Struthio camelus: one gene and its partners. The protein of the gene in region 4 binds, or shares a complex with, the protein of the main gene of each other region. Links are inferred from orthologs where the notes say so. Each region holds a gene or a part of one and is shown on either strand. Other genes may lie near its edges. The genes, in order: LSM5, PRPF6, PPIH and LSM2.

Region 1 (7,626 bases), on a different chromosome or scaffold from region 4:
ATCTTTTCTCAGTGCACATAAAGGCATTGCTCCCTGGGTATCACATGCTATTTTAACAGTCGAATGACTTGACCTGCGTGTAAGTATCCAAACTGCTGCAAACGCATCCATACATAAGATAATGGATGTGATTTAGATGCATCCTGCCCTACATAGTTGTACAGCCAAGCACTCGTAAGTTAAAAGCCGCTGTATTAACCAGCCTCCAAAGAAGGTTCCAAAGCCAGAAGTGATTCCCTAACACACCTGAAGACCAGAAAAGGATTCACCAAAATGAAATTATGACCATCCCATTTTCACAGATGTTAAGCTGTAACACATGACAAGTATGACAATAAGATCGCTTCTCTAGCCTCAGTCATATACACATATGCCCCTAAAGCTACTCGAAGTAGCCTATGTAGCGGACCACTCAGCTTGGAGTAGCAAATCAAGCAATAATTGAATTCAACAACTGCAGACATAAGTGCATGCAATCTCTTTGCAATGACGACTTACCATTGTTATGTTATTTCCGTTTAGCAAAATCTGGTCTAGTTTTGTGATTCTTCTGCCCTCAGGTGTAATTTCACTGAAACGGCATCAGGAAAAGAAAAAAAAAAAGACTTAAGTAAAATAAGAACATACCACTATGGAAGATGATTATAGTTTTGATGATTGTACTGACACAAAGCTCTACATTAGAATGAAATTTATCAGAAGTAACAAATAAATTAGCTATCTCACAACATAATCTTGATACATTGGCCATCTGGGTCAAGAAATCTACGTGAAGACCAAAGAGATCCATTGTACTTTTCTCCTTAGCACATAAAGATGTGGATTTACCCTCTAAATCCTACCAAAATCTTGACTACCACTAATATTCAAAAAAGGCTGCAAATAGCAAGATAGCAAAACAAAGTAATGACTACTTATCCTTAAGTGTGCCAGGTTTCCAAATCTTTGCCTATGTGTTACAAGGCCTTAAAAGCAAACAAACTACTGGAGAGTTCAACCCAGAACCCATGCAAAATTGAGGCTGTAAATTAGGAGCTTCATTAAAAATATTTACTGAGATAAACCATGAAACGGGTGCTCTATGACATGGCTGTCCTCAATAGGTCATCATCTAGTTTAAGTCTAAGGTCTAAATTATTCAATCAACAAGTATTCCAAAAATATCACATTACTGTGCTGATACCATGTTTTTGTAACTTGGAAAATCAAAGTTTAAAAAGCCACAAAAGATAGAAATAATACTTACAATTCTGTAACATCTTCTAACACCATGTCTGAAAGTCTAGTTTCAAGGAAAATAAGGTAGAGAGACCTTAAGGTGCAGAGACTCTAAATTATTTTCCTTTTACGTGGAAGTGTGATTTCATCTATAAAATAAAATCAGAGTAACATATGAAACAATATAATAAATTTCTACTCAGTGGAATTCCAAACTCTTAAAAGTAATAGACAAATTAAGCAGAAACATGAAGTTTAGGCTTAAACCTTTCCATTAAAGGATACTGACAAAGTCATCAAATCCTAGAAGCGTTCCAACAATTTCTTTATCGCTCTTCATCACAATATGAATGCGTGAACCTATACATTTGTCCACAAGTTCTGCAAATTAGGAAAAAAAATTAAAAGCATTAAAAACACACTTCTAAACAAAAAGCCCAACATTATGATGGCAAAAAAAGTAATTGTCAAGGGCACCAGCAAAACAGAGAAAAATAAATCTTTTCCTTGCACAGTTTACTACTAATGCTACACAAAAAAACTCTCTAAGCATGTTTATACAGTACTATTACCTTACTTTGGTGAAGCCATATTACTACTGCTGTTAACTGCATGTTTAATTAGTACCTGAGAGCTAAGCACCAAAGTTAGATCTATCTTCAGCAGACCTTTGTGCTGCATCCCTATCGAAGATATGAATAATTTCTTTGTATGCTGTCTACTCTTAAAAGACTCGTTATTTTTCCCTCCAGAGACAGAAATTTAAAACCTCTCCTAATCAATATTTGCCAGAAGTCGAACAGTTTACCCATCCAGACATTGCTCCTGAGCGGCCCGAGTAGCGATATAACGCACTGGGATCCCACAATTTAACAAAAAGATGTAAGGCAGAAATTTTATGGACAAGTTACGACTGTTCTCCTCACCTTTCTTCCCTGACCACCTCCTCTCACAGCAGTGGAAAGCTTTTGTTAGGCTTTACCTCAATTTGGGGGGGTTACTTTGTTTTTTTTTCTCCGCCAAGAACGCTTGACGTTTGAGCTAGAACCATGCAGCCCCCTAGGCTGAAGCCGTGACGGGCGCGACTTCCTCCCCCACCCCGGACCCCTCACACGCCGAGGGCCGGGACCTCGCTTCCCTCCCACGCCGGCACAGCCAGGCCCCCACACTCCCGCAGAGACATGACACGACACCCCCCCCCCGCCCCACCCCAACGGCCGCTCTCGCGCACCCGCCGCGCGCCGCCCGTGACGTCAGCGCCCGCCGCCGCGCGTGACGCGCGCCCCGCCCCTCGCCTCCCAACCGCTCCGGGCCCCATTCAAACCTCCCGCCACGCGCGGTGCCCCTCGCGCCGCTAGGGGAGCCTGGGCACCGCCCTCTCTTCCCTGCTCTTTCCTTGAGGAAAGCCCCCCCCGCACCCCGCGCCGCCGACCGCAACAACCGGGAGAGAGCGGAGACACCGCAGCGGCAGCGCTGGTTACCGAGCGGCAGGAGCTGAGACGGGTTGGTAGTCGCGTTAGCCGCCATATTGGACCCAGGCCTAACCAGTCGCTCCTGCGGAAGTGAACGGTCCGCTGACGGCGAGGCACACTCTTGGGTCGGAGCGGCAGCCCCGCCTAGCCGATGTCCGAGCGCTCGTTCTTCCCGGGAGCTCCAGGCCGGGCAGCGGGGGGACATGGCCGCCCTGGCCACGCAGGAGGAGCCCGGAGTGTTTTTCCTCTTAGGCGGAGCTGGTACATCTTCCTCTCTAATCAGCAGGCAGGGGCTCGGTCGCTGTCTGTAGTGGATGCCGTGCTCCGGCTCCCTCGGCTGCGGTGGGGCTCCGTGCTGTGATCCGGCTGAGGAATTAAAGGGATTTAAATTATTTTTCGAGGTGGAAAAGCCGCTGCGCCGTCTGCACCCGCTTAGTAACGTAAGCCGTAATGCTACAGCAGGGAGCGGGCCCCGCTGTGTTTCAGGGTGAGCCTGGCTCTCTGCCCAAAGCTTCGTTGTTTCTAAGGGCTTTAAAAATCCTCCTGATTTCTCGAATCGCTTGAAATTTACTGTCCCTAACGGTTGTGCCGGCTTTTTTTTTTTTTAGTGCCTCGAACTGGAGACTGTTGTCAAGCTCTAGCTTTTTTTCTTTTGAAAAATTAAATATTTTACAGAATCGTGGTTTTCTGAAGGTTACCCACATTGCAGCACCGATCCTCCTTTGGCTAAATATTATCACGCCAAAGTAATTTCAACTACGTATTTTTCCCCTGGTGGGAGATCTACGTAGTCACTGAGGGCAGTCAAAAGAAAAAGGTAAAACAAAAGCCAAGCGATGTTGCACAAGTAGCAAAACTGTAGCTGCGTTGAAACTAGGCAGGTTTTTTGGCAATTTGATATGTTTCGTTGAATGTGAGCTATACCCGGTGCTCTAAATCAAATGACCGCAATTCAGTAGGATCATTTTGCATACATACTGATCCAAAACATGCCTTTAATGAAATTCTTGTGCACGTGAATTCATGATAGTGAAGACAGATGAACTTTCACTTTCAGAGGTTTTTTCCTCTTGCCTTACTGCCTTTTTCCAAATTTTGATCAAAATAATCACTTTGTTCTGCATGGGTTTTTTTGTTTGTTTATTTAACTAATGGCTATTTTCTGTATTTTAATGTTCATATCTAAGACTTTTATCTTTGTAAAATATCCTCCAGTTTCCTAATACTGTGAGACATTCATGAATTCTCTAGCCCATCATTACTTTCTTTGTCTTTTACCTTTCTTTTTTTTTTTTTACAGGAGAAGGTTCCAAGTGGGAGATCATAATCCCAAGCAGAGTCATAGTCATTACTACATAAAATTCAGTTTGGTTTTGCTAGTATTTGGTGTAAGAGCCTCAGAAGCAATACACTCCAAACAGGAACTGAGATTGTAACCAGCAAGAAATCAGTTACAAACCTCAAATCCATGCCAGGATTTCGTTTATGCTTTCTTATTAGCAGAAATCTCAGAATAATTATTTTTAGTCACATGCTCTTCTCTACAAATTCACAATTTCTTCCTTTAGGAAAATGGGCTATACTTAAAAAATTCAGTGAAACTACCAGCTACTACAAGCACTGCTCACCTCTGAGGCTACTTCTAGATGCATAAAACATACTTCTCTTGTAAAAGTTATCCATCTCAAGAAGTGTCACTACACATAATCAGCACTGATAACTTTGATAATTGTTACTAAATTCCAAATGAGTGACAAATTCTGTTTGCTGTGCTGATGTTATAATAGCTTGCGGTAGCTCAAATATTACTGCTGAGAGAAAAGAACTCCCTCTATGGCCAACTGAGTTTGTTCGAGTTTATTACTGATATTTGTTAGATATGCATTGAGAAAGTAAATTCCATTAGGAAAGTTCCCACTGAGACTTTCATAGCTGCTCTATCTCCCTTTCTATTCCATAACTACACACACACAGTGTTAGCTGTGAAAAAGACATAAAATATGTCAGTCAGTTCAATTTTCTAAAACAGGCTGATGTCATTCAGTCTAACATTTAACATTTTTATTTATTGCCTTAGTGGGAAAGAAAATTTCAAACAATGAAAAAAAATCTAATAACCTATTCAGAGAAGTAATAATCCACAGTTATCCAGCAGTCTCATTGTGATGCCCTTATAATGCAAAATCCATAGCACTGAGAGTACTGCCACACTGCCCTTTCTTCAATTAACTGAACATGAAATAAAAATACTCTCAGGCATCTCTTTTTTGGTATATCCTGTTACTGGAGGGGATAATGGCTCATATTTCACACATTGTTCTTTTTTGGAATTATATTGAGCATCATAAAAGTAAGGTACAGAAAAGACCTGATAAGGAATTGTTCTCTTGCCAGTGAAGGATTGTTCCCTGCAGTTTATCCTTTGTTCCCCAAAGTATATATTTTATGTAATGGAGCTTCTGTTGAAGTTGAAGAACAATATGTAATTATAGACTTTGGTGTTAGAATTGGAGCTCCTGGGTATTGTGGTAGCGATGAGATTTTCTTTGAGCATTTTTCTTCTATTTTTTTTTCCCAAATGAATCTCTTCTTCTAATTTCCACAAAGAGTCCTAATTATTAAGGGTACAGTCACTAGCAAATGCTGTTGACTTAAACAGGACTGAATCCTGAGAAAGGTTAATGAGGGAGCATGGTCTGAGCACAGCAAGATAAAAGATTTTAACTCTCTTATACTGAATTTGTTTGTGCTCTGGGACAGGGCTTTGAACTCTCTTCCTCAGGATATCCTAATATATGTTTAGTAGTGTAACAGCTCTAATGGAAGTGCATTAACTTGATTTTTCCAACTTGAACCCATTAATAGATGTGCCCCCAGTTAAGCAACCCCACGGCTGACTTCTCTCAAGTTCTGCAAACAGCACGGAGCCCTAATTTGTTTGAACAGCAACACTTGGAAAATGGAAGATCCATGCCAAAAAAAAAAAACAACCAAACTTCAGAAATAAGTTTATCTTTCGGTTTTATTTTCAGTCTTCCGCAAGCCACCTCACTTAACGTGGATATTAAAATCGGGTCAGAGTTTTGTGCTGCCATCAGTTAAGTAGTCAATAATTAAGATTTACTGAGAGAGAGAGAGAGAGAAACTCGCCACCGTTTTCGGGTGTACCCAGCCCCGGGGCCGAGCGGGCAGCGGCGCTCCCGGCGCGGGGCAAGCGGCGGCGGCGGGCGGAGCTGGGCGAGCACCGGGCAGAAGAAGGCCGGGCGGGGCGAGACGGGAGGCTCCGCCCTCCGCCGGGCCGGCGCTGCGGAAGGAAGCGGGTGGCTGGGGCGGCTCCGCCGGGCTCCTGGGCGGCGGGAGGCGGAGCGAGCGCCCGGGCTCGGCGGCGGCGGCGGCGGCGGCGGGGCGGTGGGCAGCGGCCTTCGGCATGGAGAAGCCAGGCGCCTCCCCGCCGGCCGGCCCTCAGCGGGGGCCGGTGCTGCACATCGTGGTGGTGGGCTTCCACCACAAGAAGGGCTGCCAGGTGAGGGGCGCCGCCTTCTCCCGCGTCTCCCCACACCCTCCCCCTGCCCCCCCCGGCGTGGGGGGGGGTCGTTTCCTAGGCCGTAGGGTCGGCGAGGCTGGGAGCTCGTTGGGGCCCAACGGTACTAACGGCGTACGGGGCCCGGAGGTGCGGGGGGGCCCGCCGAAGCCGTGACTCAGTTCGCCTCGCGCGGCAGAGGGCGGTTAACGTGCGGTCAGGCGCGCGCGCGACACGCCCGAAGCGCTCCCGCCCGAGGGTGAGTGCGATGCGGGCGGGCGAGGCTGCGCCAGGCTCGGCACTGCGGGTCCCTGGCGACGGGTGTCGTGTCCAGCCCCCCTCCCCCCGCCGGCGTTTGACATAAGCCCTGGTGATCACTGCAGGCCTAGAGGCAGAGGGGGATCTCCAAGAAGGTCAAAACAAAAAATATTTTTGCGATTTTTTTTTTTTTTTTTGAGGTGAATCTGCTAGCGATGGAGGAGCAGCGACCCGGAGCGCTGCGGGCGCTTGCTGACAGGCCGGACAGCACATGCTGCTGGGCAGGGCAGGCAGCTGGGGCCGGCGCCCTGCTCCCTGGCGAGCTGTGCTCGCCTCCTGCCCTGCCTGCGCTTGGCGGGCCCCTTCCTGTGCTGGGGAGCTGGGCAGGCCTCAGGGGCGCCCCGTGGGAGCCTTGGTGTCAGGAGAGCATGGGGCCTCCGTGCCTTCACGGTGCTCTGCCTCTCCTGCACGGGGTGAATCCCTGAGGTAAGAATCGGGTGGCCCACAAGAAAGCAGAGAGCCAGCTCTCTGCCCCTGCGCCCGGACTCCTGGAGTGCTATTGACTCCCTGTCCAAAAGGATTAGTGTGTTTTAGCCTCTCTTTTCTTCCCCCCCCCTCTTTTTTTCTATAATTTTCCATTTTAAGAGCTTTGTTATAACGAGAGATTTTTTTTAAGCTTGTTTTATGTCAGTAGGACTTGTATTTGAGCCAATAAAATAATGGCTATTCAAACAATGTTTTGCTTAATGTTGCAGTATTAAAATAAAACTAGTATTTAAGCTTCTAGAGTTGTTCCACATTTTGTGATTGGGCAGTCTCTAGAAGAACTGAGGTTGAATAAATACTGACCTCTGCTAGGAAAGACAGTGAGTTCTGTGTTCAGAAATACACATAAGTTTTAAATGATCAAATGATGAATAACTGTTTGTATGAGTTTGCTGTGTTGTTGGTGCATTTGTTTTGTTTTTAAATATGGTTATGTTGTAAGAAAATTTTGAACACTTGGACTTGCCGTTCCTAAAGGGAAAAATAACCTCTGTAGTCTGCAGATTTTGTTACCCAACTAGTCACCAAACATAGTTGCTTTGTTATTATCAGAGTAGTTGGATATGCAGATGGAAATGACTTGCTGTGAGTTTGCATGAGTCGCAGTATTTC
Region 2 (8,231 bases), on a different chromosome or scaffold from region 4:
GAATCTGCGCAAGTCAACGCAAAACATGCATCCATCTCCCATATGTCATAAAGACAAAAGTCATATTTAAGAAAGCTTTCTCTCCTTACTTTCAAGTCTGAGAACTGCTGCTGAATTTTGGGTCGTTCCATACGGTATTTTTCTATCTCCTCTTTCTCTCGTTGTTCCCTTAGGAAAAGGGGTACTGAAGTTATACTCAAAGTAACACTGAGCAAGTCTTTATCTAAAGCATTGTTATTACAGAAAAATGTGTTTGATCAGAGGTAAGGCACAAAAAACATTATTATTCCAAGTTTAGACTATCATCGTCTATAACAGCAAATTAAATAGCTCATCAATTAAGACAATGTTACAGTGTCAAATTAGACATTTGCAACCAAATCAACTTCACTCTTTAACCTCCACTTACCTGTAGACCAGGCAATAAACTTAAAAAAAATTAAGTGACACTCACGGGTTTACAAGACATCTGCATTAGATGACTTCTGTAACAATTGCCAGTGTATCGTACAGTAGGTAATATGTCAGAAACATTAGCTCAGCATCTCCCTAAATCTTCCTAAGGAATTACAATGAAGCAATTCAACCAAATCTACCACTGAAGAAAATGGGCAACAAGCACAGAGATACGCTCAGGTTAAATTGTGCCAAGTATCCATAGCTCTTAAAGCAACAGTATCTAACGTACAGCATTAACACAAACAAAACCAGCATCTGCTTCTGAAAATATATTCAGTAGACAAGGACAAAATTTGAGTTGAAAAACAGAAGAAAACTCTGAAATACAGACTAAATAGAAAACGCAGACCAACTCAAAAACACTCCTTGCCAGCATTGTAACTAAGCCTACCTTCTTTCTTTTCTCCGTTCATCCATCCTTTTATCCAAAGCTGCATAAATAGCATCTGCTTCCTCATCGTCTTTTTCATAGGGACCACTTGAGAACAGGCTCCCAGCATACCCATTGAACTAAGAATAAAATAAATAGCAGTTCAAAAAAAGCTGAACCTGCAGTTTAGAACTCTTTATGTACCTAGTACAGCCAACAGTCATGCAGGATAAAGAAAACGCATGAGCAAACTATTTTTAGTAACACTGCATCACACTAAAACATCCCTAAATACAAACAACTTTCTTCTACCGCAAGAGCCGATTCTCCCACACCATTTCAACAGCAAAACTTTCTATTAAGCAATAAACAAGCTCCCCAGTAGAGAAAAGCCGTTTTGTTCCATTACCCAAAAAGTGTTACTATTGAAATCAAACAAAAAGAGTAACACAATAGTTAACTAACCAAAGCGTGATTTAAACACAAGAGACTACACAGACCGCGTAAAAACAGAACTATGTCAAAAGCTTAGATTTCATTTTTGCAGCCGAATAAAAGATGCGTCCCATGAAGCACTTAAACTAATATTTTACCTATGGATTTCTTCCTAAGACTCTCAGGGCTCTGTATATATAATTAAATCACACATATGGATGAACACCAAAACAGAGATCTGAAAGCACTATGCTATTATGTATAACAGGGTCCCAATAAAAAAAAAAAGAAAGAAAGAAAACAAAAAAAGAGGAAGTGCTGTTAGCTGACTGAGGGTTTTACGACAAGAGAGCAGGAAGCTAATGGGCTCCTCTTCCACTAGGGAAAAAACACCTGAAGGATGATTAACACATCACCTCATCATAATTGGTGTCATTCAGATCTTCGTCATCATCATCAGCCGTCTGATTCTTCTTCATTTGATCCCCAACCGTTCTTTTCCCTGGCGGAGCATGACGATCATCCACCGGGTCATTGGCATCACGTGCTGGGCCGATATCAGACCGGGTGGTGAAACCTGTGGCTCTATGTTGACAGACCAATAGCAGCTATTTACAACGCAGCAGTGCAATCACTACACAGAGTCTGTTAAAATTACTTAAAACTAGAAAATTTAAAAAAACACTTCATTCACAGGGATGGCATTACCCATCCCTACTGTTCATGAAACCCTTTGGGAACAATTGTCCTTTTATAGGTATAACTTTATTTATAATGATACTAGAATCAAGTTGTCCTGCTCACCCCCTCACCATCCATCACCTTGTACCCAGAGATGCATTCGCTTTTAAAGTCTATCCATCAATGGCATGCAGCAAAAAAGATTATCTACATCCTGCAGGTTGTAAGGTGCATACAATCAGGGCAGAGGCAGACACGGGGGCTCTTCAGAAGCCCCATATTCAGCTAGTCAATGCTTTCCAGGGCCCAGCCTACAGGACTACATGCCCCTGTCCACAAGGATGCCTCAACCCAAAGCAAAGACACGAACAAATCATGACAGAGAAAACCAGGATGCAAATCCGCTGTCACCCAAGAACAACATAGCTCCCCACCACCACAGGGCAAACCCCTGCTGCCCATGCATCACCAGGACCTGCCTGTTGTTTTACCCTATAACTGCCAGCACAAGCGTGCCCTGATTTTAATGACTTCTACCGAAGCCCCCCACGCGCACACGCAATTACGACACGAGCGCACAAACCCCGGGTCAGCGGCAACACCCCTCCTAACGGACAACGCTCAAAAAACCCTCGAACTCATCCCCGAAGTCGGCGTTTACGTAAGAACAGCCTATCGAAAAGGCAGACGCAAACCGCCCAGAATGAATAAAACTTTAAAAAGCGGAGCAGGGGCCGCTGGGCACGGCCTGCCCCGAGGGGACGGCGATGGGCGGCGGGGCGTAAAACCGGGCTCAGCCTGGAGTTGGGGGAAGGGGCTGCGGGCCCGCGGGGGGGCCAGGGGGACCAGGCCGGGCCGGGCCGGGCGACGAAGGCCGCGGAGGGGGAAGGCGGGCCGGGGGTGGGGGGGAGGGGGCTCACCCGCGGCCCAGCCCCGGTACATAGCCCAGGGGCGCGGGCATGCCCAGAAACGGCTTCTTTTTCTTGTTCATGGCGGCGGCGATGGCGGCGGCGAGGCGAGCGGCGGAGGCGGGGCCGCTCGGGAGGCGGCGGCGGAAGCGGCGGCGGAAGCGGCCGCCATCACAGGCCGCGCCGCGGGGCGGGGCTACCCAGGCGGCCCGCGCGGCCGGAAGCGCGACCCGGCACTTCCGCTCCGCGGCCGGGGAGGGAGGGGGGGGAGGAGGAGGGGGAGGGAGCGTCCCTCGCGCCCCCCGCGCCCCCTGGCGCCCCGGGGGTCCCGCCAGAGCCCGGCGCGCATGCGCACCCCTGCCGGCCCCCACCCCCCACCTCCCCACCCCCGGGCGCGCAGGCGTTGCATGCCCGCACGTGGGTAACACCCCGGTGCGCGCGCCCCGGGCAGGCGCGCGCGCGCACGCAGGAGCGGGCACGCACAGCTGCACCCGTGCACGCGCGGACGTGCACGGCGCACCTGCACACGGTGCACAAACCTCTGCATGCGTGCACGGGTGCCCGTGCACCTGCACATGGGCACACCCTCGCACACAGCTGTGCATGCACCCGCGCACCCACCTCCGTGCATAACGTGCATGCCTGCACGCACACCGCTCTGCACGCATGGCACGCACGCATGCACCCACCCACCCCTGCACACACGTGTGCCTGCACACCATGCAGGTACACGTGTACACATCACACACGCGCATGCACACCTGCACGTGCGTAAAGCTGCACACCTGCGTGCATGTGCATGCACACCTGTGCACCTGCACACACCTGCACCTATACATCTGTATGCACGTGCGCACAAACCTGCGTGCACACACGTGGCTCTTGCTCCGTGTGTAGACCACACCTTTCCACCACAGGTATGCCTGCTAACAAGCACAAATACGTGTTAAAGCCTCACGCGCCGCCTGCATAGGTTCCAACCCAGCTTTCCTGCACACGCGTCCTTGCCTGTGAGGAGTTGCGTCCCCGCACGCACACGGAATGCCACACATCCCTTCTGCATTACATACACTTTGCACACATCCACCGACAAACACACGCATGTGTCCACACCTAAATGAACATACTCCCATGCATGTCTCTAGTGTGGGCACATATATGGACACCTATAGCCACAGGGGTGCAGCCGGACCCGCAAATGCAGCACAGCGCTCGGCCCGCTCTATCCCGGACGCACCCCGTGGCACCCGCTGCGCCGCCCCGCGCCCACACGCTTCCTCCTCGTTTGCCTTAATAAATGCAAAAATCCTCGTAGATTCACAGCACGCCGAACAAAAGGCATGCGCCCGCATTAAATAACTTGGATCTTTTTTGCTGATTAATTACAAACTAGCTTCTTCCTCTTTTGCATTTGCAATTAAACAGGCAGAACAGATGGCGCAGGCTTAATTTAAAGCTATGCGTCCCCTGGTTTAATCAGGCTCTCCCTGAGCTCGGGCCCTGCTCCAGCCAGAGTCGGAGGCGGATTCGGGCTCGGGGCGACTGAGATGAGACGTTCCTCCGGGGGACTGGGGGGGGCCGGAGAGCAGCTGGCGCCAAGGGAGCCTGTTGGCTTTAGGGGTGCGATTCAACCCGCCGCCCCAAAGCGACCGAGGAGATGGGGCTGCAGAGCACTGTCGCACTCAGGACACGTCCCAGCGGCCCAGGGCCAGCCTGGCCCCTGGTCTAACGCCTAGCTCCCACGAACGCCCCCAAAGCAGGCGCCGTGTCGGGAGCGGGGTGTCAGCGTGGCTTCCCGCGCTCCGGCACGGCCCTTTTCCCTCCGACAACGCGGAGTTTGGCTTATCGAGTCAATCCCTTGAAAAAAAAAGGACGTCAGCTCCCAATGAACGCCGGGAAGTCACCAAGCGCCAGCCACCGCCGCGGCCGCTTATCCCACCCGAGGGACGAAACCGGCTCCGAGGGCCGCGGGAGCCCTCGGGGGCCGGCCGGGTCTCGCAGGGTTTTGCCCGTGCCGGATTAATTAGCGCCCGTTTGCAAAGTGCTCCGGGCACGGCAGGTTCACGGCTGCATTAGCGCCCGCTCCGGGGTCTAGGGGCCCCCCCGGTGGGGCGCTGGCCCCCGCCGGCCGCCCCGGCCCGCGCCGCCCCCGCGCCCCGCGGCAGCTCCCACCAGCCTCTTGGAAGCGCCAAGCAGCTGCGGAGAAGACGAACAGCCCCATTCTGCACGCTAACCGCGCACCCAACCCCCAGCCACTTCACAGCGAGCTATTTTGGGGGTTGGCTGGCGGAAAATAATAATAATAATAATAATAATAATAATGAGCATCGCTTTTGGCAAACGGTCAGGGTGGCGCTGGGGGATGCGCCGCTGCCCTGGAGCACGGGGCTGGTCTCGGTGCTGTACGTTTGCTCTGTTCACACCACAGCCACATCCTTTCCCGTGCTGCGCGGGAAGGATGCCGCGCGCCGGCCGCCGCCAGCCGTCGCGGCGCAGTCGCGCTCCCACCCGCGAGAACGCCCGGCATAATTTATAGGCTCGGTAAAATGCCTCGTAAATGCTTTTTAGTCAACTCTGCGGGTACCCAGCGTTGACGCGCGGGTGAGCGTCGCGCAGAGCCGCAGCCTGGCGCGGAGCATCCCTGGCGTGGAGCGGCCGCGGGAGCAAAACCAGCGACTGGTCCTAGTTTTCAGTGGCAAAATCTGAGGGGCGAAGGGGCAACTGCACCTGCTAAATGTGCAAATATAATGCACCGCCCGTGCTGCGCGCTCGGCCTTTGCAGTTCGGCCGTAACTCTACAAGAAAACCAAGCTGCTCCGCGGCGCGCGCGCGAGCATAGCGGCTCTTGCCTCTCGCGCCTGCGTCTCTGTGCACGGGCAATAAAACCGCTAAGGAGCAGAGGCAACGGCAGCAGCGAGGAGCCGCGCCGGCGCTGCGCTTCGCTCTCGGAGAGCGCGCTCCCCGGCTGCTACCTGCAGCACGAACTGTAGGGAAGAGGTGCCGGAGTCACCGTCCTCTGCCAGGACAACGGGAGAGCGAGCCGGCGAAGCCGGTGTAGGAGTGCTGGCCGCGCTGCGGCCCTGCGCCAGGCAGAAACGCGGGGCTGTCCATGCACTGGAAATTAATGTTTTTAAATATGACGTAATGCAGCGAGAATAGATAACACAGGAGATTATTGCAAGAATGGATCATGCAGCTGGCGTGCGCAGGGCATCGCCCCAAGGACGGTGGGATGCAGGGCGTCACCCCGAGGACGGCGGGGAGCTGGTGCATGCAGGGGGCATCGCCCCAAGGACGGCGGGGAGCTGGTGTGTGGAGGGCATCGCCCCGAGGATTTCAGGATGCAGGGCATCGCCCCGAGGACGGCGGGATGCAGGGCATCGCCCCGAGGATGGCAGGGAGCTGACGTGTGCAGGGCATCGCCCCGAGGACGGCGGGGCGGCGGGGAGCTCGCGCGTGCAGCAGCGCCGGCTCCTTCCCTGCCATCCGGTGCGAGTCCGGCCACGGCCGCCCTGGGCAGACCTGCGCCGGCGGTTTGCGTGCTGCTTGCAGCATTGAGGTGTTGCTGCTTTGCACTCCCAAATCGGATGATTACTTGGATTTCAGGTGCGAAAGTGAGAGAAAAGACTAAACAGGGACTTGTTTTTAATCTGCGTCTGCTCAGCTACTACATTAACACTTTTGGAGCCTATTCGCACTTGATTATCGCCCTGTGCCGTGAAATCCTCTGAAGACAGGATGTCCTACTTAGCAAAATCAGCTCTGCATTAGGTAAATATACTTCCTGAAATTTTAATTAGTCCCACACAACGGCTCCAGAGGGGCCCGGAGGCCGCGGTCGCAGCATCTGCTCGCTGCCATGCGCCACGCGGGCGCCTGGTGCCCCGCGGCAGCGGGAGCCTTTGCGCAGCTCACCGGTGCCAGCGGCAGCCGAGCGCCAAGCCCGCGCCGGCACGCGGCGAGAGCCAGCGCCTCCGGACGCCTCCGCCGAAGCCATCTCACGTCTCGGGGACGATTAGCGGGGGATGCCGAAGGGTCCTCGCCGTGCAGTTGGCAGCCGGGGCGGCCGCAAGAGCCGAGCTTGCGTCAGCTCGCGGTGCGCAAGGAGAACTGCCCGGGCGCGAGGACGCTCCGGGAAAGCTCACGGCCGCGAGCCCGCAGCCTGCTGAGGACAATACCAACATGCCGCTTCTTTTTTAAATTGCCTTTTAATCCGGAGCTCTCTAAAGTCTGGAGATGCTGAGGCCGGGCCGGCACGTCCCGAGGCGCCCGGCGGCGCGGGCAGCCCGGACGAGGGCACCGCGCAGCGGGTCCGGCCGTGGCGCCCCGGGCCGAGGACGTGCCGCGGCAAGAGCCGGCCCGGGAGGCAGGCTGACGGCACCAGGGTTGCACACTGCACCGGGTGGTTCGGCGATGTCCTATCTGAATTCCCCTGCAGCGCCGGGGCGGAGGCTGCGGGAGGCATCAGCGAAGCCCTTTGCAAGCTAAGAGCGTCCCCCTAACAGTGGCGATGCATGCGGGCGCGTGCGTGCATCTGCAGGGGCCGTGCACACGCAGAGCAAGCTCGAAGCGAAGAGCTTAAATTTGCAATGAAATAGCAGCCGGTTCTCAGATCACACAGCACCACGCGGTTACGCTCAGAGCGCAGCCAATCGATCCAAGCCAGGCCGTACCTTACCCTTGAGCAATGCAAATAATCAATCAAATCCCATGAGCAGCTAAACAGAGCTGGTAAGCTCCCAAATCAGGCCTGAAGGAAAGTCAGAGCTTCAGGCCACGGATACGTAATGTGGCCATAACACGGTCATTAATTTTCTCACGCTAGTCGGCAGCTGGATGCCGGCTCGCTTTCCTCAGGTGCCGGTTTTCACTTGTGCCCGTTCCGAGTATTGGCTTAATAATTGCAGCGCTCGGGTGATGTCGCTGCCCGGAGCAAGGGAATATCCCCAGTGAGAAGGGCAGAATCCAACCGCTTGGGCTTCGATTAGCTAATAGAGATCAGATGGAGCTGGCCGAACCTTTTCAGCCAAAACGATTTTGGCCAAAAAGATTGCAAAACTTGTAATGAACTGATGGCAATTTCATCAAGTTGGGAGAGAAAAAACCCGAGTGGGAGGAAGCAGAGGATTTTGTCTGACCTCAGCGGATTCCTTACCGCTTGGTTTGCCCAAACTTCTGGATGCAGATGGTGCTTTTAGCCTCGTGTCAGCCCAAACTGATGTCATTCCCAGGCAAAAGGAGTGGGAATCGCGTGAGAAAGGAAATGCTGATTATTTGCACAGGTTTCATTTCAAGGGCAGCTCGTGGAGCCCGGCCGATGGAACGAGAGGCCCCGTTACCTCCCGTGACACTAGGGCAGGAGCGCAGGGCGCTTCTCC
Region 3 (7,981 bases), on a different chromosome or scaffold from region 4:
AGCCTTAAGGGTGCTGCAGGGAGGAACCCTTCAGAGAAAGCTGCCGAAGTAACGCAAACACGTACTTCTGGACGTGTACACGTACTATTTGGATAGTAATTTCCCTTTCTGTGCTGATTTAGTGTTTCCTTCAGCCCTTTTTTTCTTCTGCCCTGCTGCATCTCGTCTCCCTTCATTACCTTTCCACTTAACTTTTTTGCGTGTGTGCGTTAAGCCAGGCTTAAACAAGGAAAATAAGATGCCAGTAACATACCACTTGCAGCGCTGCACCTTTTGCTCTACTTGCCTAGTCTCTGCTTCTTTTACTGCTATGTGGCTTATTCAAACTGTCAGCTACAAGGCAGGATCGTGTACCCTATTTCAGGGCCCAGTGTGGCCGTTCTTGGTCCCCAAGTAGCTTTATAAGAAGCGCAATTAATAAGTTACAAATACCAGTGCAACCTGTAAAGCTTGTTGAGCTTTAGTGAAAGTAATAAAGCCACGGGGACATTTGAGCAGCATGATGATTAGGACTAGCTGCAAACCCAATGTGACTAAGCCACACACTTTGCAGTCAGTTCTCTCAGCTTTCACAAAATTGAGTTTTGTGTTAAAAAGCTTTTTCCATCATCCCCCTCCAATTGCAAGTGGTTTGGGAAATGAAATAATTTCCCCAGGTCCTAGGGTAGCGAAGAGACCCAGTGATCATCCAGCATCTCCCCAACAGTTGGCTTATCCGAAAGGCACAATACTGTAGGTACAAAGTCTTTTCTACTTTGAGACAATTCACTAATAATAGAAATTAATTTTGATTTAAATAAATCCTGGACTAGACGCTAGGATTTATGCTCAGAGTCTCTCTCCACAGAGCCAAAAGAAATTTGTAGGGTTTCTTGCCTGGGGGACAGAAGAAAGGAGAAGGGCAACAGGGTAAAAATTCCCTGCAAGTTTGAAGAGTCTCTAATGATGCTATCATGCTGTTTTAAAGGGGAAATATTTTGGGAGAGAAGAAAACGTGCTTGCCCAAGTCTCCGGATTTCTTTCCAAGTACATTGTACTTGTACTGCTGCAGTAAGATCGTAGGAACATTGTAAGGAAACCTCCAGTTATTACTGGCTGCCTCATAAGAGAGCCAACAGATATTGCAAGTAAGCATGGACCTTGGGAAAGAGTCGCATATTATACCACGCAGCAAAAGTACAAAAGAAATACAGAAGTACATACGTTTACAAAGTCACCTCCTTGGATCATGAAATCCTTTATTACCCTACAAAAAGTAAAACGATACTTACTTCTCAGTCAAAAAATGCCTCCAGAAGCTTACTATGTCAGAAAAGGGAGTTAGTTCTCACAACCAAAAAAATCATAAGGGTCTGTAAGTACTACAATGCAAAATCTACACTGAATATTAACTACTGGCTGATATAAAGTAATTTGGGATCCACTGCTGTTAAACATGGGATAGATTAGGTGATATATGCAAGAACATAATCTCTGACCTGGCAGACCAGGAATGGGGGGACCCCCTGCAAAGTGACCCCTGTGTGTCAACTCAAAAGCTCCAAGGAGACCATGGTTTCCCTCTGGTATATCTGAGGGCAACCCCAAATCCCCCAATCCCCCCAAAGGACAGACATGCCAGAGGCTCTGGAAAGATGATACCAGCAGTGACCAGTCCTCCATGCTTAAAAAACACCTCCCAGACTAATAACACCTTTGAGGCAGCTCTCAAAACCAGGCCCAGCTCACACTGCTGTTTAAGCATCTAAACAAAAGCAGAAGAGTTACCTGTGGAAAGTGCTTCCCTTATAACCTATAGGGACACCATCTTTCCTAGGAGGAAATAAAAAGGAAAATCATTGCAGTTTACTGTATATCCCAACACAAAACTCTCCCATGGGATTTGCTGGCAGTGCCAGTTACAGCAACGTACCCAAACCCGTACCCGACTCTGGCCGCACCCAAAAGGGAAGGCTGGGTAAGTCTGCCATCCGTGTGACTGAGCCAGTCGTGTTTTCTCTAACTTTTTCGTTCTGTGTTGATGCACTAAGAAAAACTTCCAGGTGACCTCTCTTTCTAGTCCCCCAGCCCTCTGCTCATCTGAATATTTTTTAATACTATTTAGAAGGAGAATCTAAGCACATACCTGAATTCACCTGTACAAAACTGCCTGGAAAACAAAAAGTACAAAACAGCAGAGCATGAGTCACATTTGTATTCCTAGGAATGCCAAACCGCTGCGCTCTGAATGTTTTACAGAAGAAAAACTGCAGGATTGTCCTTAAAGCATCAGGAATACCACCAAGGAAAAGGGCAACTGTCAGGAACTGCTCATCGTTTCCATTTCAAAAGGGGCATTTCTGCAGTTGGGGAGGGTCAGCTGTTCAACACCGGGGTTGTAAGAGACGGCGAGCGTGGCGTGCGGCACCGTTTTGCACAGAGGGCAGGGTATATGAATGTCTACTGTGGGACTGAGATGACCACGGAGAGAGGCGCGAAGGGGATGCAGCGGCTCTGGCAAGGAGGTGGTTGCTCTTGCACCGGAAACGCTCCCGCAGCACGAAGCGGCGCCGGCTGCCCCTTACCTGAAATTCTCCGCCGTTTTGGGCACGACATCAGCGAACAGCTCGATTTTCATGCGGCCGACCTCCTGCGGGGGGGGGGGGAAACGTGGTCAGCGCAGCCTGCCGGACCCCCGCTGCACCCACCGGTATCCCCGCGTCCCTCCCCCGGCACCCGAGCAGCTCCCTCCAGTTGCACCTCCTGCGCCCCCCTACTCCTGCTTCACCCCTCACTGCGCCGCTGCAGCCGTCTCCCCCTGCAGCCCCCCCACAATCCCCCCCAATGCGCCCCAGCCCCCTCCCACTGCAGCTCTGCCCCCCCGAGACCTCCTCCCGCTGCAGCCCCCTCCCCAATGCAGCCCCCCTCCCCGCTGCGCACCCCCCACCACCCCCTGAAACCCCTCCCCATGGCGCCCCCTCCCCGCATGTAACGCCCACCCCCACGCAATCCCTTCCCCCCCCCCGCAGCCCCCCTCCCCCACGTAGCCGCCTCGCCCACCTGCCCGCCGATGGAGACGTCGAAGAAGACCACGGGGTTGTTGGGGTTGGACGCCAACACCGCCATGGCGCCCGCCCGCCCCCGGAAGCGGAAGCGGCCGCGGCGGCGCGGAGAGGTGCGCGCGTAACGGCCGCTCCCGTCACGGCCGCGCGCGTAACGGTCGCTCCCGTAACGGCTGCTCCCCTAACGGCCGCTCCTGTCACGGCCGCGCGCGTAACGGCCGCTCCTGTCACGGCCGCGCGCGTAACGGCCGCTCCCCTAACGGCCGCTTCCATAATGGCCGCGCGCATAAGGATCACGTGTATAACGGCCACGGACGTAACAGCCGCGCCCCTAACGGCCGCTTCTATAATGGCCACGGGCGTAACGATCACGCGTGTAATGGTCGCTCCCTAACGGTCCCTCCCCTAACGGCCGCTTCTATAATGGCCGCGCGCGTAACGATCACATGCATAATAGTCGCTCCCCTAACGGCCGCTCCCGTAATGGCCGCTTCCATAATGGCTGCCCGTGTAACGATCACGCGTGTAACGGTCGCTCCCGTAACGGCTGCTTCCATCACCGTTGCTCCCGTAACGGCTGCTTCCATAATGACCACGCACGTAACAGCCGCTCCCCTAACGGCCGCTTCCATAATGGCCACGCACGTAACGATCACGTGCATAACGGCCGCGGACGTAACAGCCGCTCCCCTAACGGCCGCTCCCGTTAACGGCCACTTCCATAATGGCCGCGCGCGTAACGATCACGCGTGTAACGGTCGCTCCGATAACGGCCAGTTCCGTAACAGCCGCTCCCGTAACGGCCGCTTCCATAATGGCTGTGCATGTAACGATCACATGTGTAATGGTCTCTCCCGTAACGGTCGCTCCCATAACGGCTTCCGTAATGGCCACGCGCGTAACGATCAGGCGTGTAATGGTCCCTCCCGTAATGGCCACTTCCGTAACCGTTGCTCCCGTAACAGCCACTTCCATAATGGCCGCGCGCGTAACGATCACGCGTGTAATGGTCGCTCCCGTAACGGCCGCTTCCATAACGGCCGCGTGCCTAACGGCCGCTTCCGTGTCAGCCACACGCGTGTATTGACTGCTCCTGGAGGGCTTGGCGCCCCGGAGCGGCTCTCCTCCGAGTTCCCCCTGCCGCTGTCTGCAGGCCTCGCGGGGTTGGGGCAGGAAGGAAAGGCCCGGAGGTGCCCCGAGGCGCCGTCCCCTCGCTGGCCTGCGAAGCCGTTGGCAGCTTTGGCCAAGGAGAGGATGAGGTGCGGCGAGGAGGATCTGCCAGGAAAGGAAGCGTGAAGAAGGCTGAGGTGCCCTGGCCTCCAGAGAGCCTGCTGGAAACGCGCTCGTTAGGGGTGGCTCGTTTCCTTCGCAAGACCTTGTAGTTCCTTCTGCTGAGCTTGGCTTCTTGGAAAAAGCTAGCCACCGCCTCTGGTTTCTTCTGGGATCCGCTTGTGCCTCCAGAGCAGGGAAGAGGCTGCGACCTCGGAGCCCCCTTCCCCTTTCGGATGGGAGGAGCCCCTCGTCCAAAGCCCTTCTCGTGCCTTCGTTTCAGCTCCAGACTTCTCGTGGGGTCAGCAGAGGGCTTCTAGTCGGATGTCAGGTAAAAACTCAGCTCTGCAGGCCCCTCCGCCGCGGGTCCTTGCGAGGATGCTGGTGGTGGTGGGGATGATGCTGGCATCTTGGAGCTTGGTTTGGAGCAGGTGGGATGGTGGTGAGCTTGTCTGACTTCAAGCATGGCATGTCTTCCTCTTGCTCCCCAGATGTTGTTAAAATTTGGGACAGCATCTCTGAATGCTACTGCCAAGCGCTGCTGCTGAACCAGGTGGGTCTTGTCTCCTCACCCTCCTTCCAACCCTCATGAGTGCTGAGCCCCCGCTTCCATCCTGCCATGGAGCAGCCTTATTCCTTGCCACCGCTGAAAGCAGAAGAAATGCCCCAGCAGGAGCCTGCAGTTTTGTGTCAGTTTTGCCCCAGAGCCACGTCTCCCTCAATGGAGAGAAAAAGCAAAGCCCAGCTGGAGAAGCAGACTGTGAGCTCGCTTCTTCAGGGCCTTCTCGAGCTCCTCCTGGCAGGGCAGAAAGCCTGGCGCACTGTGGAAGGCGAGTGCCAGCGTTGTTGCTGGCCCTGCCAGCTGCCTTGTGGGGACAAGGGGCCTAAGCGAGCCGCAGTCAGGCACGAAGCAGAGACGGGGGAGCGGGTTTGCCCCAAGGCCATGGAGAGCCCCAGGATGCCCTTGATGGTGAGTGTGGAGCAGCACGGGGTGGGGGCTGTGTTTGGAGTGGTTCTTCCCTTCCACTGATGCCATCTCCTCTTTGCTGCTGAGAGCAGGGGGTGTGGGGACGGGGCTGTGGCCCCCGCAGGCAAGACGTTGGCTGCTCCATGGAGAGTAGGTGGGGTGGAAGGGGGGGGCGAGAAGCCTCCCGAGGGGCTGTCTGTTGTGCTGCAGGGTGTTTGGGGTCTGCTGAAGGGCTGCTCAAGTCACTTTGTTGCTCGGTGCTTTGTTTCCAGCCTATTCCCAAGCTGTGGAGTTGAACTAGGCCCAGCTTGCACTGCGGCCGCACGTTCCGAAGGGGAAGGTGCTGAGACGTATAGAGGCGACCCTGAAAGTCTTTGTGTGGGCCTTGTCCACGAGCAAGGATTTGGACTTTGTCTTCAAGAACTTCAGCATCCTGGAGTGCTGATGAGATTCTTTGAAGACTTTATTTACAAAGTAGGTAGGACCAGGAACTTGGCAAAATCTTTCCTCAGCGTAAGTCGGGCCTCTTTTCAGCACTGCCTCTCCTGCTCCTGCTTCCTGGTCAAAGCCTTGGCCTGCCTCGTCCCCTGCGCTCGCCTTGATTTACAGGAACGCGAGCTCTCGGCAGACTTCTTGTCTGGCCTTCAGGAGAGACTTGGCGACACAGAAGCCCTTCTGAGAAGCTGTCTTTGGTCAGAGCAAAGATCCAGCCCGGTAGCCCATGTCCCTTTGTGCTAGGAAAGAGTATAAGCCCGGGGCAGGTTTGTCTTGGTGCTTCTCCCAGTGCCTGCCCTCCTCCTCCCAGAAAGCGACGCTGTAGAGATGCTGTCTCTGGGCAGGACGCAGAGGCACCAACGGACCAAGGCCCTGCCGTCCTGCTCTGCTGGTGTCGCTGCACTGACCAGCCCTTTGCAGCCTGTGCTGCAGTGACGGGTCTCGGACCGGGCCCCCCGCTTGCTGTTGTTCCAGCTCTCGGGGCTTTGGCTGTCCCAGGTTTCCCTGAGCGTGCCAGGGAGGAAGGAGGGCTGCGTGTCTCTCTTCCTGCAGCTACAGATGCAGCCGTTTGAGTGTCAGCAGAGACTTGGGGGTTGGCCGCACTGCTTGGACTCCCTGTTCTGTCTTCAGCAATGGTCCGTGCAAGCAAAGAGAGCAAAGGCAGCCACCAGAGAGGCCAGCTACCACAAAGCCTTGCGTCGTGCTAGCTTCCGTTGACTTCTCCTTTAGGCAAGACCGAGTCTCCTGAGGGAGTCTCCTGATTCTTGCCCTTGCCCAAAGTCTGGCAGTGTTGCTGCCCATTCTCAGGGCTTTGCTGGGCTGCAGGCACAAGTTGGGAGAGGGGCTGATGTTGGTGCAAGAGCACTTGGTGAGAGAGTTGTGGAGAGGCAGCTTCTCATGTGGCTGGTGGGCAACTGTTTGCCTTGTGAGCAAGGGGCTCATTTCCTGGGGGTGGCCTCATGGGTCTCGGTCTCTGTTGCAGAAGCCAAGGCTGAGGCCTTTGATCATCACCCACAGGGAGACGGCTGTTTTCCAGATGCCTGCTGGGGGGTGTCTTCTTGTTCCCACAGAGAGTAGGTTTCCTTCTGCAGCCCTTGACGGACCGAGCATGCAGCTTCTCATCTCCCACTTGGTAGAGCCACCGAGAGCTGCCGAGGGCCTCGTTGCCAGGGCTTGTCTCCTCCTGAAGCTAGCGGGGAAGAAGTTTGTCAGACGAGGGCTTCTCAGTGAAGTGCGTGGTCAGCCATGCTTTGTTGGGAAGCCCTGTCTGTTGGGGTGAAGTCAGCTGGAGGAGGGCCTGCTTTCTGTTCCCGCCCTGTGTGGGAGAGGAAGTTAGGCCCCACTTGGCGCAGAGCTTCTTGTGCTCCTGCCCTTTCTTTTGGCTGAGGCTGAAAAAGACAAGGCCCAGTGCCCAAGATCTTCCTCTTTCCTGCATGTGTCTTCTTCCGGAAAAGCATCTCTGAGAAGGTACATCCCAAGCAGGTGGAAACAAGAGCTGTGGTTGGGGCCTCTTGTGCCCTTCCCAGCACTGGGGTTGTGTGTACTCACCTTCCTAAGATATGTGCTGACCACATGCTGTCTTCTGCTTTGGCAGACCAGAGGCTTGACAGCAGCTCTCCACTCTCCCCGTGACCAGCTGCTTAGTGGAGGCTGCAAGAGCCTGTGCTGCCCCTTCTCGAAACCGCTGTCTCCTGCTTGTTTCCAGGTTTGTGCATACGGATGCCACCTCCGAGAAAGAAGTGGCTGCGGAGGCTGGCAGAAAAGGTACTCTCTTGCTGCCCAGAGCAATGCAGGGAGCCAAGGGCCCCTCCGTGTGTTCCCCTCATAGCACTTCATGCCTCCCGTGACAAAGAGCCTCTCCCCGGTGAACAAAGTGTCCCAGCTGGCTCCCTTTGCAGAAGGTGGCCCCCAGAAAGGGGTGGCACACGAAGCCCCCAGGGAGCACTGTCTCTCTCGAAAGGGAGGGTTGGACAAGACCAGGTGTCTGAAAGGACCGAGGAGCGCGTAAAAAGCTGGACGTGGAGGTTGTAGGAGTCCAGGCTCAGCCCGCAGTAGACCCCGGGGTGAGGAGGTGTCCTTCCTCTGGGAGCTGTTGCGGGGATGCAGGTGTGAAGAGCTTCTTCCTTTTGGGCTTCCAGGGTGTCTCGCTGGCAGGCATCTCCTTCCCTGCGGGAGGCCACCAAAGCCGAGCCGTGATGCGGAGGTGACG
Region 4 (7,625 bases):
CGCCGCCGCCGCCCCGCCGTACCGGGCGGCGATCAGCACCCGCTGCGCCGCCGCGTCCTCGGGCGGCGGCCGCAGGAAGAGCCGCGGCGCCGCCATGGCCGCGCGCCGGGCCGGCGGGCGGGGGGCACCGGGGGCACCGGGGGCACCGGGGGCGGCAGCGGAGGCGGCAGCGGAGGCGGCACCGGCGGCACCGGGAACCGGAGCGGCGGCGGGGCCGGAGCGACGGCGGCGGCGGCGGCGGCGGGGCCGGAGGGGGCGGGGCCGGAGGGGGCGGGGCCGGCGGGCGCGGAGGGGGCGGGGCCGGCGCGGTCCCGGAGCCGCCGTCGGTACCTGCTGCCGGTGCGTGGGGAACCGCGTGGAGCCGCGCGCACCGCGCATGCGCCGCCAGCGCCTGCCCCCGCCCCGCGCATGCGCCCGTCCCGCCCCGCGCCCCGGGCTGCTCCCGGATTGGCTGCTGCCGCTGCGCAGGCTCAGTCAGCGCTGTGTGTGCGGGGGGGGGGGGGGAGGAGGGGGGCGGGGCGGGCTCCCGGATCATAGAGCCGTGCGGCTCGGCGGGGCAGAGCGGCCACCGCGGGTTACGGAGCGCGTCCGGCGACCCCTGGCGGCGGGCGAACAGCCGGGTCCTCCGGGGACCCCCAATCCCCCCCCACCCGGGACCCAGGCGTCCGAGACCCCCCCCCCAACGCCTTCCAGGGACCCAGGCGTCCGGGGAACGTTACCCTCCCCCCACCCAGGAGTCCAGGGCCCCCCAACTCCCCACCCGGGACCCCGGCATCCGGGACCCCCCAACCTCCCACCAGGGACCCCGGCATCCGGGACCCCCCAACCCCCCCCCGAGGGACCCCGGCGTCCGGGGACGCAGCCACGACACAGCCAGGTCCGGGTGCCCGTCACCAGCGTTTATTGCGCCCCGCCGCCGCCCGGACGCCGGGGCTCACCCCCCCGGCCCCCGCGGGGCTGGGGCGCAGCGGTGAACCCCGGCGTCCGGGCGAGCAGGGGGGTCTCGGGGAGGGCGTCGGGGTGAGGTAGAGAAACGGGGGGCAGCGGAGTGGGGGCCCCGGCATCCGGGCCGGGGAGGGGGTGACGGGGCCCCGGCGTCCGGGGGGCCCCGGCGTCCGGGCTCACTGCTTCTGCTGCAGGGCCTCCTTGCGGGCGGCGTCCTGGAGCAGCTGCGTGTCGACCTCGTCGGCCGGGAGCTGCACGTAGCGCACGACCGAGCCCCGGATGAAGCAGTTCTTCACCGACAGCTGCGGGGGACCCAGGCGTCCGGGCGTCAGCGGGGCCCCGGGGGACCCCGGCATCGGAGGGCCTGGGGCACCGCGGCCGGCCCGGGGGGGACCCAGGCGTCCAGGGTGGTTGGGCCCAGGTGTCCGGGGGACCCAGGTGTCCGGGAGACCCCGGCATCGGAGGGCCTGGGGCACCGCGGCCGGCCCGGGGGGGACCCAGGCGTCCGGGGGACCCCGGCATCGGAGGGCCTGGGGCCCGGGGGGGACCCAGGCGTCCGGGGGACCCCGGCATCGGAGGGCCTGGGGCACCGCGGCCGGCCCGGGGGGGACCCAGGCGTCCGGGGGACCCCGGCATCGGAGGGTCTGGGGCCCGGGGGGGACCCAGGCGTCCGGGGGACCCAGGCGTCCGGGCCTTACCATGTGCGGGTACTTCTCGGGGTCGGTGACGCTGATGTCCGTCAGTTTGATGTTCAGGTACTGCGGGGACGCGGGGGGGTCACGGCCTGGGAACCCCGAGGGTCCTGCCCCCGACGATCCCCTCCACCCCACAGACCCCCGTGGGCCCAACCTGCCCCCCCGGTCCCGTCCCACCGAGGGATCCAGCCCCCCCCCGGGACCCCCGCAGCCCCCTTCCCCCCCCGTGGCCCCTGGCCCCACTCACCTGGTCCACGGAGTGCAGCGTCCCGCAGATGCTGGGGGGAGAGAGAGTTACCCGGACGCCTGGGCCCCGTGGGGGGGGGGTCCCGGACGCCTGGGCCCCGTGGGGGGGGGGTCCCGGACGCCTGGGCCCCGTGGGGGGGGTCCCGGACGCCCGAGTCCCCGTGGGGGGGGGAGGCTGGACGCCTGGGCCCTGTAGGGGTGGGAGGCCGGACGCCTGGGCCCCGTGGGGGGGGGTTCCCGGACGTCTGGACCCCGTGGGGGGGTTCCCAGACGCCTGGGCCCCGTGGGGGGGGTCCCGGACGCCGGAGTCCCCGTGGGGGTGGGAGGCCGGATGCCGGAGTCCCCGTGGGGGTGGGAGGCCGGACGCCTGGGCCCCCGTGGGGGTGGGTCCCGGACGCCTGGGCCCCGTGGCGGGGGTCCCGGACGCCGGGGTCCCCGTGGGGGGGGGAGGCCGGACGCCTGGGCCCCGTGGGGGGGGGAGGCCGGACGCCTGGGCCCCGTGGCGGGGGTCCCGGACGCCGGGGTCCCCGTGGGGGGGGGAGGCCGGACGTCTGGACCCCGTGGGGGGGTTCCCGGACGCCTGGGCCCCGTGGGGGGGGTCCCGGACGCCGGAGTCCCCGTGGGGGTGGGAGGCCGGACGCCTGGACCCCCGTGGGGGTGGGTCCCGGACGCCTGTGCCCCGTGGGGGGGGTCCCGGACGCCGGAGTCCCCGTGGGGGTGGGAGGCCGGACGCCGGAGCCCCCGTGGGGGTGGGTCCCGGACGCCTGGGCCCCGTGGGGGGGGTCCCGGACGCCGGAGTCCCCGTGGGGGTGGGAGGCCGGACGCCTGGGCCCCCGTGGGGGTGGGTCCCGGACGCCTGGGCCCCGTGGCGGGGGTCCCGGACGCCGGGGTCCCCGTGGGGGTGGGAGGCCGGACGCCTGGGCCCCGTGGGGGGGGGTCCTCACCTGAGGTCGTTCTTGAGCTCCACCACGACGTCTTTGCCCACGAGGGACTTGAAGAAGGAGTAGAAAAGCTGCGGGGACACGGACACGGGGGTCGCGCGGGGCCGCTGCTGCCCGCCGCCGCCCCCGGCCCCGCGGCCCGCTCCGCCCCGCCCCCCCGGGCCCCCCCGGCGCTCCCGGCCCCCCCTCGAGCCCCCCGGGCCCCCCCACGAGCCCCCCGGCCCCGCCGACCATCGCGGCCGCCGCTGCCCCACGCGCCAGGGAACCGGCGAGGCCCCGCCCCCTTCCGCCGCGCGCGGAGCAGCCGCCCTGGCCCCGCCCCCGGGGGCGGACCCGCCGTCCTGGCCCCGCCCCCGAACGGAATCGCTGGTCTGGCCCCGCCCCGGGGGCGGACCCGCCGGCCTGGCCCCGCCCCCGAACGGAATCGCTGGTCTGGCCCCGCCCCCAGGGGCGGAGCCCGCCGCCCTGGCCCCGCCCCCGAACGGAATCGCCGCCCTGGCCCCGCCCCGGGGGCGGACCCGCCGGCCTGGCCCCGCCCCCGAACGGAATCGCTGGTCTGGCCCCGCCCCCGGGGGCGGACCCGCCGCCCTGGCCCCGCCCCCGAACGGAATCGCTGGTCTGGCCCCGCCCCCGGGGGCGCCCGCGGCACCCGGCCAGGCCGCCGCCCGCGGGCCCAGGCGTCGGAGGGGCCCCGGCGTCCGGCCGCGCCCCCGCCCCCGCCCATCGCCGCCCGGGCGGGGCCGCCGCGAGCGACCGGGCGCGGGAGGGGGACACGCGGGACACAGGGGACGTGGGGTGGGGACACGGGGGTCACGGGGACACGGGGGACACGGGGACCTGGGGGACGTGGGGTGGGGACACGGGGGTCACGGGGACATGGGGGTCACGGGGACATGGGGGTCACGGGGACCTGGGGGACGTGGGGTGGGGACACGGGGGTCACAGGGACACGGGGGTCACAGGGACACGGGGGTCACAGGGACATGGGGGACGTGGGGTGGGGACACGGGGGTCACAGGGACATGGGGGTCACGGGGACCTGGGGGACGTGGGGTGGGGACACGGGGGTCACGGGGACACGGGGGTCACAGGGACACGGGGGTCACGGGGACCTGGGGGACGTGGGGTGGGGACACGGGGGTCACAGGGACATGGGGGTCACAGGGACATGGGGGTCACGGGGACCTGGGGGACGTGGGGTGGGGACACGGGGGTCACGGGGACACGGGGGACACAGGGACACGGGGGACGTGGGGTGGGGACACGGGGGTCACGGGGACATGGGGGTCACAGGGACATGGGGGACACGGGGACTTGGGGGACACAGGGGTCACGGGGACTCGGGGGACACGGGGACCTGGGGGACGTGGGGTGGGGACACGGGGGTCACGGGGACACGGGGGTCACGGGGACATGGGGGACACGGGGGTCACGGGGACACGGGGGTCACAGGGACATGGGGGACACGGGGGTCACGGGGACACGGGGGTCACAGGGACACGGGGGTCACGGGGACCTGGGGGACGTGGGGTGGGGACACGGGGGTCACGGGGACACGGGGGTCACAGGGACACGGGGGTCACAGGGACACGGGGGACACGGGGGTCTCGAGGACCCGGGGGACACGGTGTGGGGACACGGGGGACGGGGATGGATCAGCGCTCTGGGACCGAGTCCCACCCCAGATGGGGCCCCACGTCCCTCTGCCCCCTCCCATGTCCCCCGTCCCCGTCCCCCCGTCCCCATGTTCATGTCCCCCCGTCCCCACACCCCCCTGTCCCCCATGTCCCGTGTGTCCCGTGTCCCCCATCCCCACACCCCCGTGTCCCCGTATCCCGTGTCCCGTGTCCCATGTCCCATGTCCCCGTGTGCCATGTCCCATGTGCCGTGTGCTGTGTCCCCGTGTCCCGTGTCCCCGTGTCTCGTGTCCCCGTGTGCCGTGTCCCCGTGTCCCCGTGTCCCCATGTCCCGTGTCCCATGTCCCGTGTCCCATGTCCCGTGTCCCGTGTCCCATGTCCCGTGTCCCATGTCCCGTGTCCCCATGTCCCCATGTCTCGTGTCCCGTGTCCCCGTGTCCCCGTGTCCCATGTCCCGTGTCTCGTGTCCCGTGTCCCGTGTCCCCATGTCCCGTGTCCCCATGTCCCCATGTCTCGTGTCCCATGTCCCGTGTCCCATGTCCCGTGTCCCATGTCCCGTGTCCCCATGTCCCCATGTCTCGTGTCCCGTGTCCCCGTGTCCCCGTGTCCCATGTCCCGTGTCTCGTGTCCCGTGTCCCGTGTCCCCATGTCCCGTGTCCCCATGTCCCCATGTCTCGTGTCCCATGTCCCGTGTCCCATGTCCCGTGTCCCATGTCCCGTGTCCCCATGTCCCCATGTCTCGTGTCCCGTGTCCCCATGTCCCCGTGTCCCATGTCCCGTGTCTCGTGTCCCATGTCCCCGTGTCCCCATGTCCCCATGTCCCGTGTCCCCGTGTCCCGTGTCTCCGTGTCCCGTGTCCCCATGTCCCGTGTCCCCGTGTCCCGTGTCCCCGTGTCCCGTGTCCCGTGTCTCGTGTCCCGTGTCCCGTGTCCCCGTGTCCCGTGTCCCCGTGTCCCCGTGTCCCCGTGTCTCGTGTCCCGTGTCCCCATGTCCCGTGTCCCGTGTCCCCGTGTCCCGTGTCCCCGTGTCCCCGTGTCCCCGTGTCTCGTGTCCCGTGTCCCCGTGTCCCGTGTCCCGTGTCCCCGTGTCCCGTGTCCCCGTGTCCCCGTGTCCCCATGTCCCGTGTCCCATGTCCCGTGTCCCATGTCCCGTGTCCCCATGTCCCCATGTCTCGTGTCCCGTGTCCCCATGTCCCCGTGTCCCATGTCCCGTGTCTCGTGTCCCATGTCCCCGTGTCCCCATGTCCCCATGTCCCGTGTCCCCGTGTCCCGTGTCCCCGTGTCCCGTGTCCCCGTGTCCCGTGTCTCCGTGTCCCGTGTCCCCGTGTCCCGTGTCCCCATGTCCCGTGTCCCCGTGTCCCGTGTCCCGTGTCTCCGTGTCCCGTGTCCCCATGTCCCGTGTCCCCGTGTCCCGTGTCCCCGTGTCCCGTGTCCCGTGTCCCGTGTCCCCGTGTCCCGTGTCCCCGTGTCCCCGTGTCCCCGTGTCTCGTGTCCCGTGTCCCCATGTCCCGTGTCCCGTGTCCCCGTGTCCCGTGTCCCCGTGTCCCCGTGTCCCCGTGTCTCGTGTCCCGTGTCCCCATGTCCCGTGTCCCATGTCCCGTGTCCCCGTGTCCCGTGTCCCCGTGTCCCCGTGTCCCCATGTCCTGTGTCCCATGTCCCGTGTCCCCATGTCCCCATGTCTCGTGTCCCATGTCCCGTGTCCCGTATCCCGTGTCCCCGTGTCCCCATGTCCTGTGTCCCATGTCCCGTGTCCCCATGTCCCCATGTCTCGTGTCCCATGTCCCGTGTCCCCGTGTCCCGTGTCCCCGTGTCCCCGTGTCCCCGTGTCTCGTGTCCCGTGTCCCCATGTCCCGTGTCCCGTGTCCCCGTGTCCCGTGTCGGTGTCGCACCCGCACGCCCACGGCCGGGCCGGACCGGGCGAACCGGCCCCACGGCCCCGTGACGACACGGCCCGGCCCCGCGCCGCCACCGCGATTTAAGGGCGGCTCCGGGGCGCCGCGGCACCGGCGGGACCCTGCGGTGAGCGGGACGGAGGGGGACGGGGACGGGGACGGGGACCCGCGGGACGGGGACGGAGGGGGACGGGGATGGGGACAGGGATGGAGGGGGACGGGGACGGGGATGGGGACGGAGGGGGACGGGGACCCGCGGGACGGGATGGGACGGGGACGGGGACCCACGGGATGGGGACGGGGATGGGGACAGAGGGGGACGGGGACGGGGATGGAGGGGGACGGGGACAGGGATGGGGATGGGGACGGGGACGGGGACGGAGGGGGACGGGGATGGGGACCCGCGGGATGGGATGGGGATGGAGGGGGACGGGGACGGGGACAGGATGGGATGGGACAGACAGGGACGGAGGGGGACAGGATGGGATGGGGATGTGGGACGGGGACAGGATGGGATGGGGATGGAGGGGGACGGGGACGGGGACAGGATGGGATGGGGATGTGGACGGGGGACGGACAAGGATGGGACGGGGACGTGGGCGGGGGGACAGATGGGGGGACCCCGGACATGGGGACACGGGACACGGGATGGGAGGGAGATGGGGATAGGATGGGGATGGGGACAGGGATGGACCCAGACAGGGGACACGGGGGGACAACACGGGACACGGGGACACGGGACATGGGATGGGGACACGGGATCGACCCAGACGGGGAGTCGACACGGGACACGGGGACACGGGACACAGGCAAGGGAGGGGGCCCGGGGCTGCGGTCTGCGTGCGTGTGCAGGCGTGTGCAGGCGTGTGCAGGCGTGTGCAGCTGTGTGCAGCCGTGTGCAGGCGTGTGCAGATGTGCGCAGTGCAGCCGTGTGCAGCCGTGTGCAGGTGTGCGCAGCGCAGGTGTGTGCAGCCGTGTGCAGGTGTGCGCAGTGCAGCCGTGTGCAGCCGTGTGCAGGTGTGCGCAGTGCAGGCGTGTGCAGGCGTGTGCAGGTGTGCGCAGCGCAGGTGTGTGCAGGCGTGTGCAGGTGTGCGCAGTGCAGGCGTGTGCAGGCGTGTGCAGGTGTGCGCAGTGCAGCCGTGTGCAGCCGTGTGCAGGTGTGCGCAGTGCAGGCGTGTGCAGGCGTGTGCAGGTGTGCGCAGTGCAGCCGTGTGCAGCCGTGTGCAGGTGTGCGCAGTGCAGGCGTGTGCAGGTGTGTGCAGGTGTGCGC

Evidence for each region.
Region 1: LSM2 (region 4) and LSM5 share a complex: the UniProt entries of both Homo sapiens proteins name them as parts of the precatalytic spliceosome. The link is inferred for Struthio camelus from reciprocal best matches to the Homo sapiens genes LSM2 and LSM5.
Region 2: LSM2 (region 4) and PRPF6 share a complex: the UniProt entries of both Homo sapiens proteins name them as parts of the U4/U6-U5 tri-snRNP complex. The link is inferred for Struthio camelus from reciprocal best matches to the Homo sapiens genes LSM2 and PRPF6.
Region 3: LSM2 (region 4) and PPIH share a complex: the UniProt entries of both Homo sapiens proteins name them as parts of the U4/U6-U5 tri-snRNP complex. The link is inferred for Struthio camelus from reciprocal best matches to the Homo sapiens genes LSM2 and PPIH.

The regions. Positions count from the first base shown.
Region 1 is NC_090943.1:55,214,154-55,221,779, forward strand, and holds the start of LSM5 (U6 snRNA-associated Sm-like protein LSm5), read right to left. Parts: upstream 3,101-7,626; 5' UTR 2,896-3,100; coding exon 2,700-2,895; intron 1,600-2,699; coding exon 1,504-1,599; intron 1,275-1,503; coding exon 1,247-1,274; intron 572-1,246; coding exon 499-571; intron 1-498. Other genes in the region: late secretory pathway protein AVL9 homolog, read left to right, coding at 6,118-6,213. UniProt on the Homo sapiens protein: Plays a role in pre-mRNA splicing as component of the U4/U6-U5 tri-snRNP complex that is involved in spliceosome assembly, and as component of the precatalytic spliceosome (spliceosome B complex).
Region 2 is NC_090959.1:17,594,599-17,602,829, forward strand, and holds the start of PRPF6 (pre-mRNA-processing factor 6), read right to left. Parts: upstream 3,061-8,231; 5' UTR 2,937-3,060; coding exon 2,866-2,936; intron 1,850-2,865; coding exon 1,681-1,849; intron 970-1,680; coding exon 851-969; intron 169-850; coding exon 90-168; intron 1-89. UniProt on the Homo sapiens protein: Involved in pre-mRNA splicing as component of the U4/U6-U5 tri-snRNP complex, one of the building blocks of the spliceosome.
Region 3 is NC_090962.1:12,645,459-12,653,439, forward strand, and holds the start of PPIH (peptidyl-prolyl cis-trans isomerase H), read right to left. Parts: upstream 3,325-7,981; 5' UTR 3,106-3,324; coding exon 3,040-3,105; intron 2,630-3,039; coding exon 2,565-2,629; intron 2,150-2,564; coding exon 2,126-2,149; intron 1,813-2,125; coding exon 1,768-1,812; intron 1,247-1,767; coding exon 1,204-1,246; intron 1-1,203. UniProt on the Homo sapiens protein: PPIase that catalyzes the cis-trans isomerization of proline imidic peptide bonds in oligopeptides and may therefore assist protein folding. Participates in pre-mRNA splicing.
Region 4 is NW_027182645.1:4,918-12,542, reverse strand, and holds LSM2 (U6 snRNA-associated Sm-like protein LSm2), read right to left. Parts: upstream 3,132-7,625; 5' UTR 3,062-3,131; coding exon 3,059-3,061; intron 2,899-3,058; coding exon 2,831-2,898; intron 1,919-2,830; coding exon 1,888-1,918; intron 1,704-1,887; coding exon 1,644-1,703; intron 1,248-1,643; coding exon 1,122-1,247; 3' UTR 880-1,121; downstream 1-879. UniProt on the Homo sapiens protein: Plays a role in pre-mRNA splicing as component of the U4/U6-U5 tri-snRNP complex that is involved in spliceosome assembly, and as component of the precatalytic spliceosome (spliceosome B complex).